2 linked regions of the Neurospora crassa OR74A genome follow. Each later gene encodes a partner of the first gene's protein in a complex. Links are inferred from orthologs where the notes say so. Each region holds a gene or a part of one and is shown on either strand. Other genes may lie near its edges.

Region 1 (4,029 bases):
CAATATGTTTTAGTGATTACGGATACGGAGAGCGGTGAGTAACCTGCAGGCCTTTTTTTTTTCTTTCTTCTGAAAATCCAAAAAAATCAGTCTATATGGTGTAACACCACCCGCAGACACGATACTTCTGGCCGTGCTGATTTGGAGTTAATGCCCATGTGCTGACCCGACTTATTGCACACCAGGGGTTTTCACGGCCACATTCCTCCGAACGCAGATTTGATCTTGTGAGTTGTCTCCTGTATGCCACATATCTTGCTCCAGCTTGTCTCTACAGTCAAGGTAGCGGCGGGCAAGATAGCGTCAGCAAGGATACGAGCTAATATGTGATAGTGACGTATATCTCAAGGGTCTCCAGTAGCTGGGCGGTTCACTGATCTCGGGAAAAGGAGACGAGGTCCTTAGTTCAACGCCTCCAACGAGCCAAAGTAGGGACCGCTGGGCAAGAAACCACTGGAACTTGAAGTTCTTTTGGGAAGATAGATTTTATGTCGGTGATGGCGATGACGAAAACACAGATGGTTGGTGTTTACGTTGCGAGGAACCTTGATGGGTAAAGACGAGGAATTAATTGAATGACGGGAGGTTGAAGCGATACAGGGAAGGTTGAAGTACCCGCGCAGCTATGTTAATATGGAGAAGTACCTACAAGCGCCTCATTGAATGTGATTGGCTCACTACGATAAGAGAGCACAAGTTGCCTGCCGGATGGGCTGAGTGGCTGGTCCTTGCTTACTGTACCAAGTACGTTTTACCGCCATCGGTACATCGGGCAAGTACCTCTAGTGCATGACCGCCTCGTACCGTCTACTGCCAGGGGTGTTAGTAATGATTCGATCCTTCTATTGCTGTCCTCACGGTTCCTTCCAGGTTCATGCGCGCGTGAACCACAATACATATTGGCTTCCCTTCAGCATCAATGAGACTCTGAGTCAAGGTTTATCCGATCAGATAGGAGACAGGGCACAGCCAGTGTGAAACGAGGTTGGGTCGAGGTAGAGGTACCTAGAGGTACATAGCTAGCATAGCCACTTCCAGACGTACAACCTAGTAATAGGTGCGAGGCCGCATACGGTGAAGGCTACAGCACACTGCACTAACAGCAGTACAGCGACCTGCACGCTGCAGCGGTAGGTGCTTGGCCAACGACGGACAGTGCATCACATCACCATTCCCCGCAGTTCTCCTTGATGCTTGACAGCTGGTGGCGGGGCTGACCGAACCTCCCTCGACATCCCCGCCGCCCGACCTTCCAGATTACAGACAGCTTCCACTTCCACTTGCACTTGCACTTGCACTTGCACCTTGACATAGTACGACATAGTAGCACTTGCGCTTGATCCGTCGTCTGTTTTCCCGAGTCATTCAACTACAACATCGGCGTTTTCTTTGGACCAACATCGCCAACTTGAAGTATCACAATACCCGACCACTGCGAATCAACAACTTTAGGTTCAGTTCTCGTTCTTGTTTTTGCTCTGTTTGCGTCACGAACTTTCCACCATCTATAATCTACCGGCCCGCCCGTAATCAACAGTCGCCAAGCTGGGGAAGCGCAAAGTATCCGAAGGGGACCTACCCATCTCTCTAAAGAGAACCATGACAGTGAGTTGAAACCCCGTTTGTCTACATGAATCCTACTTGGGATGGCAGATGCTTGTTCCTGGTAGCTAGCGCCAGTCAGTCTGACACTTTCGTGATGCCCATCTCCCAGGACACTCAGAAAAACGAGGTCGACCTTGTCACCAGGATGCAAGTCGACGAATCAGTAGCCGGCACCACGGCCGAGATTGATGAGTCCCTCTACAGTCGCCAGCTCTATGTCTTGGGCCACGAGGCCATGAAGCGCATGAGCGCTTCCAACGTCCTCATCGTCGGCCTCAAGGGCCTCGGCGTCGAGATCGCCAAGAACGTGGCCCTTGCTGGCGTCAAGAGCCTCACCCTCCACGACCCCGAGCCCGCCGCCTGGGCCGACCTCTCCGCCCAGTTCTTCCTCCGCCCTGAGGATGTCGGCAAGCCTCGCGACCAGGTCACCGCTCCCCGCGTTGCTGAGCTCAATGCTTATACCCCCGTTCACATCCACCAGTCGCCAAGGTAGGTTATGAACCGGACGGGAGTGAGCTTGACAGGTTCGGTAGCTAACCGTGGCCTCTGTACAGTCTCGCCGATAACCTGTCGCAGTTTGACAAGTACCAAGTCGTCGTCCTTACGAACCAGCACACCGATCTCCAGACTATTGTCGGCGAATACTGCCACTCCAAGGGCATCTACTTTATTGCTGTCAACACACACGGTCTCTTTGGCGGCATCTTCTGTGATTTCGGCGATAACTTTACTGTCATGGACACGAACGGCGAAAACCCCGTTAACGGTATCGTGGCTGGCATCGACGAGGAGGGTCTCGTTTCTGCGCTTGACGAGACCAGGCATGGACTTGAGGATGGCGACTATGTGACCTTCTCGGAGGTTGAGGGTATGGAGGGACTCAACGGCTGCGAGCCCCGCAAGGTCACCGTCAAGGGCCCCTACACCTTCTCTATCGGCGACGTGTCGGGGCTTGGCCAGTACAAGAAGGGCGGTCTCTACCAGCAGGTCAAAATGCCCAAGACCATCGAGTTCAAGAGCATTACCAACGCGCTCAAGGATCCCGAGTTTGTCATCTCCGACTTCGCCAAGTTCGATCGCCCTCAGCAGCTTCATATTGGATTCCAGGCTCTCCACGCTTTCGCCAAGTCTCAGGGACGTCTACCAAGGCCGATGAACGACGAGGATGCGCTTGTGGTTATCGCCTCGGCTAAGGAGTTTGCCAAGCAGCAGGGTGTTGACGTCGAGTTCGACGACAAGCTTCTCAAGGAGCTCAGCTACCAGGCTACTGGTGACCTTAACCCCATGGCCGCTTTCTTCGGTGGCCTTACTGCCCAGGAAGTCCTCAAGGCTGTTTCGGGCAAGTTCCACCCCATTAAGCAGTTCATGTACTTCGATGCGCTCGAGGCTCTTCCCACCAACTCCAAGCGCACCGAGGAACTCTGTGCGCCCACTGGTAGCAGGTATGACGGCCAGATTGCGGTCTTTGGTAAGGAGTTTCAGGAGAAGATCTCGAACGTCAAGCAGTTCCTTGTTGGCGCTGGCGCCATTGGCTGTGAGATGCTCAAGAACTGGGCCATGATTGGTCTCGGAACAGGCCCTGAGGGTAAGATTACCGTTACCGATATGGACTCGATCGAGAAGTCCAACTTGAACAGACAGTTCTTGTTCCGTCCCAAGGACGTTGGTCAGATGAAGAGTGACTGCGCGGCCAAGGCCGCGCAAGCTATGAACCCTGACCTCGAAGGCCACATTGTTTCTCTCAAGGATCGCGTTAGTCCCGAGACCGAGGAGATCTTCAATGAGGAGTTCTGGCAGGGTTTGGATGGCGTCACTAACGCGCTGGACAACGTTGAGGCGAGAACGTATGTCGACAGACGGTGCGTTTTCTTCCACAAGCCTCTCCTTGAGAGTGGTACCCTCGGCACCAAGGGCAACACGCAAGTGGTGCTTCCTAGGCTCACTGAGTCCTACTCTTCCTCCCAGGATCCTCCTGAGCAGTCGTTCCCCATGTGCACTCTCAGGAGTTTCCCCAACAAGATCGAGCACACCATTGCTTGGGCTCGTGAGCTGTTCGAGAGCTCATTTGTCAAGCCTGCGGAGACCGTCAACCTCTACTTGACCCAGCCAAACTATCTCGACACTACCCTGAAGCAGAGTGGCAACGAGAAGGCGACGCTGGAGATGTTGGCGGACTTCCTAAAGCACGAGCGCCCGCTCACCTTTGAGGATTGTGTCCAATGGGCTCGCATGCTCTTCGAGAAGCAGTACAACAACGCTATTCAGCAGCTCCTTTACAACTTCCCCAAGGATTCCGTGTCCTCGACCGGTACCCCCTTCTGGTCCGGACCCAAGCGCGCCCCTGACCCGCTCAAGTTCGACCCTGAAAACCCCACCCACTTTAGCTTCCTCGAGGCTGCTACCAACCTCCATGCCTTCAACTAT
Region 2 (3,952 bases), on another chromosome or scaffold:
GGAGGTGGGAGTGGGAGGCCAAGAAGGGATCGGAGCACGCGTTTGTGTATAATTTCAGGACGGGGAGGTGCATCTATTACGACTTGTCGGCTTGATCGGGTCGGCAGGGTATTGAAGCCCTGGGGAGGTGCCTAGCTGGGTAGGATACGTTGGCGATGGTGGGTTGGATGTGTGTATAATAGGTATACAGTTGTAAGGCTAGTAATCCCACCCGAAGGCATCACTGCTCTTTCAAATCGTCCGATGTTCCTCTTGCTTTTCGTCTATGGTGATCCCCTGAAACACCAACTCAACCTGAGTCAGCCTCCTATACAGAACCCTAACCCTTCTGTCACAAGTGAAACGCCCAACCATCTCACTACGGGAAGATCACCCTGCTGGCCAACAAGAAGTTCGTTCGCACACAAGAAGCCAGGAAGAAGACCGATTGCGGAGGAACTGACCATCAAGGTCCTTGCCTACTGTTACCCACCGGATCTTCTAACTGCCTGGCACGGACGTTTCCCATCCATGGTTTACGAGAAAATGGGAACCGCTGCCAGTATGCAAACGAATCGATCCATCTTCTTCCCTCATGTTGGGCAACACGTTACCTGTACCTACTCTTATTTACAGCAAAGTGTTGTGAATGACGGGTATATGATGCTTGGAAACAGATGCGAATGTGGATTCGATTTAAGGCATCGATCATTTGTTGTCTGGGCAGTCAACAGGACAACATGGAACTGCGTCACTTCTTTGTAGCTTCAGTGGACCGTGACGGGATCTAGTGTACTTGGGAAATTGTTAGTGCATCCTCTGAAACATCCGATAACTGCAATTCTGACCACCACCAATATGCCCTATCACCATGGGATGCTCATTTGTCAGTGGCAAAGGAACTGCACCGTCGTGTCGTCCCGTCTCCTTGCGGGTAGATTGTACATGATTGTCTGATGGGCCCCCCCTTTGCCAGAGAAAAAAAAAAAAAAAAAGGCCGTTCTGGGAGGTTCCGCCTGCTTTGTAAAGGTTGACGGGCAATTACAATACGATAATATGGAAGGGCGGGGATTACGGCCTCCCTCCTTTGACGATACTCCTGTCAGGTGTATTGGTCTTATGTAGAGGTAGGTACCTATGCCGAGAGCCCGAGACCGCCATTGTGCAGCGGTGTTGACCACCATTAACAAACGTAAGGCGAGACATGCAGTTGTTAGGATTCCTCAGTGCCTCGCTCAGCTCGGCTGCTGCACCACCATGGGAGAAGGAAGTTGGGCAATGACGGGACCATCACAAATGGTCTGGGTCGGTTGCTTCGTGTAGACTTAGGTTAAGTTGAGAGTGCGTGCTAGAGACTGCCCAACCTTCTATCCGGGTCCTCGCTCCGAGGAACCCAAGGGAAGCGTGACCCTGCCATGATTCCATCGCTCACATCGTAGTAGTGTAGTTCACACACCTTTTCCTGATCCGGTTGTGACGTTCGTACGCCCTTCCACTTTTCCTCCCGTCTGACCCTGCTTTCTCCTGACTCGCAACCTCTCTATTGTTCCAGATTGTCACCGCCCAGCCCTTGATTTCCAACCCACTTCCCAAAGACCACCATCGTGACAAACCGTGAACTTCTATCCCGACCGTCCGTGCTTCCATAGAGTCTGTTCCCATTGTTTGGTTATCGTTATCATTCCATCCCTCTTCAAAAGATCAATACCCACCCCGGCCTTCACCACCGACCGTCTAACAATCTTCCCCAAACACCCGCCCGCCTCTTGCCAACATCCCCTCAAACTACAAATACCACCATTTTCCTCTCGAGGCCCCCGATCTTGCGCACGAGAGGGATCTTCGTCAGCACTTTACGTGTCGATCCCTTGACGAGCCACCACAACATATCTACTTCACCACCACCGCCACCACCAACGAAGTAAAGTGGGCTTTTCCAGCGGCAGCCCATTCTTTCTTTTGTCAACCTCCGCCACCGGCACCTCGCCTTCACTTCCGTAACCACATTTTGCCATGTCGTACAGGACAACAGCGTCGGGCGCTACAACGCGCCTGATGAGTGAGATGAAGGCGCTACGAAAGGAGAAGTGGATTCACTTTGAAGATGTACGTCCTAGTACCGTTCGTTTTTTCTCCTTTGCCGGTCTGTCGTTCGCGGGCGCAGTACCGGCACGTCGATTCTAGTATCACTATACCTTCACTACGGAACCTAGACTGACCCTCACTTCTTTGGCGCAAACAGGACGATTCTGCGACCCTCAACATCCTCAAGTGGCGCTTCGGCCTCATGGTCATCAACCCCGACAGCGCCTTTAACGGGGGGTACTTCAGGGCCGAGATGGTATTTTCGGACGAATACCCCTACCAGCCGCCCAAGTTCCGCTTCCTGATCCCCATCACCCACCCCAATGTGTATCCGGACGGCCAGCTCTGCATCTCGATCCTGCACACACCCGGCGAGGACCTCATGTCTGGCGAGCAGGCTAGCGAGCGTTGGTCGCCGCTCCAGGGCGCCGAGAGTGTGCTGAGGTCGGTTCTGTTGCTGCTGGACGACCCTGAAATCAATAGCCCCGCCAACGTGGACGCGGGCGTCATGTACCGCGACCGCCGAGAGGATTACAACAAGAAGGCCCGGGAAACGGTGGAGAGATCAAAGAAGGATATCCCGCCAGGATTCGAGATGCCGGTCAGCTTTGAGGAAAAGCCGCCTCCGAAGGCCGAGAACGACGACGATTTTTGGGCCGAGTCGGATGAGGAGTTTGACTTTGGTGGTAGTGACACCGGGGATGACGACGAGATGGAGGACTTTGAGGACGGGGAGGAAGGGAGCGAGGATGACGACGACGATTCCAACTCCAAGCAATAGAAGGACTTGCTTGCTTACTTGCTTGTTGTTCCTTCAACAGCAGCAGCAACCGTTTTTATCGCCGTTGTCAAGCTGGGCTGGGTCTGGTTCGGGTCAGGATGGTGATGATATACCTTTCTCTTTCTTATTCTTGTTCTGCTTCAACCCGTCATATTTGCATAGCGTCGGGGACACTCGCGGTGTGTTTGGGCGTTTTCGTGGTCTCCCAAGCAGGCATATCTGGTGGGAATTTCATTGGTCGCTTTTTTTTTTTCTTTTTTTTTTTTACATACAGAGACACACCGTCACCCAAGTACTTGCCTATCCTCAGCCACAATGTTCTTGCACAGCGGAAGACATTGGCAAAGACGGGAAGCGGTCTGGCTTCATAGTAACATAGAATACATTTAGCGGAAACGTCTAGACTAGAGCTATAGACTCAACTTTCGTTTTCATGGAGCGATGAGCGGATGTAGCCCCGCGATGGCATCGCTGAGTTCAGAGAGCCGAATAGCCCGTCTGGAGCCCGTGCACGATGTCAGAGCCCAAGACCTCCGTCCCTTGACACATAACAGTGAAGAGGGGCCCGGGCCTTGGGGATGTCCCCTCAGCGACCGAGCAGTTGACCTCCGAAGCCCCTCCATCATCCCCTCATGAGATACCCATTTCTGTACAGCAAGTGAAATTTGTGAGCAGGCCGAAACCGATGAGAAACCGAAGGATACCTGCCCGACGCTCCAAGATCATCATGATGCATCTCTTCTTTGGCTTTTGTTGTCATCGTCCACGTTTACCCCGGCCCTCAGCCAAAACCTAACGGAGTGCCTCAATACCTTTCCCCCCATTCCCCGCAGTTTTTGCCATCAATCAAAAGCTGCCCCTGCCGCCTTGTTTGTGTACCTACTGTACATAGTACGTACAGGGCTCGGGTACCTCATCAAGCAGCTCTTGCATTTCATTGTCTGACAACGTAAAGGCAAACAACATCCCAATCTGGCTTCCCATCATCTCGTTCGCCCTGTCTTCGTCCAAACAGCAACAACAACAATAACAACAAAAAGTAAAAGCAGGGCTATCCTTCGCCCACTTCATCCTTTTCGCTCTTAAAGCCAGCAAAGTAGCTCGACA

What was found. Proteins that work in one complex are often made in the same cells at the same time.
Region 2: the proteins of NCU04370 (region 1) and NCU01188 are in contact, whole or in part, in a crystal structure (PDB 6ZHU), measured with the Saccharomyces cerevisiae proteins. The link is inferred for Neurospora crassa OR74A from reciprocal best matches to the Saccharomyces cerevisiae genes UBA1 and CDC34. Residues at the interface, in NP_012712.1 of Saccharomyces cerevisiae: Arg182, Asp200, Arg202, Phe236, Glu584, Ser588, Arg590, Asp591, Pro592, Pro593, Lys595, Ser596, Ile597, Pro598, Leu599, Cys600, Arg603, Ser604, Phe605, Asp650, Leu691, Asn694, Phe695, Pro696, Ala699, Thr701, Ser702, Phe707, Lys712, Pro915; in NP_010339.1 of Saccharomyces cerevisiae: Lys5, Ser6, Thr7, Ser9, Leu13, Arg14, Tyr16, Arg17, Leu33, Asp36, Ser37, Asn38, Ile39, Phe40, Asp69, Phe72, Ser73, Tyr89, Arg90, Asp91, Arg93, Leu94, Cys95, His100, Gln101, Ser102, Gly103, Asp104, Pro105, Met106.

What each region holds. Positions count from the first base shown.
Region 1 is NC_026504.1:3,604,378-3,608,406, forward strand, and holds the start of NCU04370 (ubiquitin-activating enzyme E1 1), read left to right. Parts: upstream 1-1,229; 5' UTR 1,230-1,599; coding exon 1,600-1,605; intron 1,606-1,714; coding exon 1,715-2,094; intron 2,095-2,159; coding exon 2,160-4,029. Other genes in the region: peptidyl-prolyl cis-trans isomerase fkr-3, read left to right, coding at 14-34, 186-227, 334-361.
Region 2 is NC_026505.1:3,174,799-3,178,750, forward strand, and holds NCU01188 (ubiquitin conjugating enzyme), read left to right. Parts: upstream 1-1,493; 5' UTR 1,494-1,992; coding exon 1,993-2,085; intron 2,086-2,221; coding exon 2,222-2,845; 3' UTR 2,846-3,452; downstream 3,453-3,952. Other genes in the region: cpc-3 protein, read left to right, coding at 1-95. UniProt on the Saccharomyces cerevisiae protein: Catalyzes the covalent attachment of ubiquitin to other proteins. Capable, in vitro, to ubiquitinate histone H2A. Mediates the initiation of DNA replication (transition of G1 to S phase in cell cycle).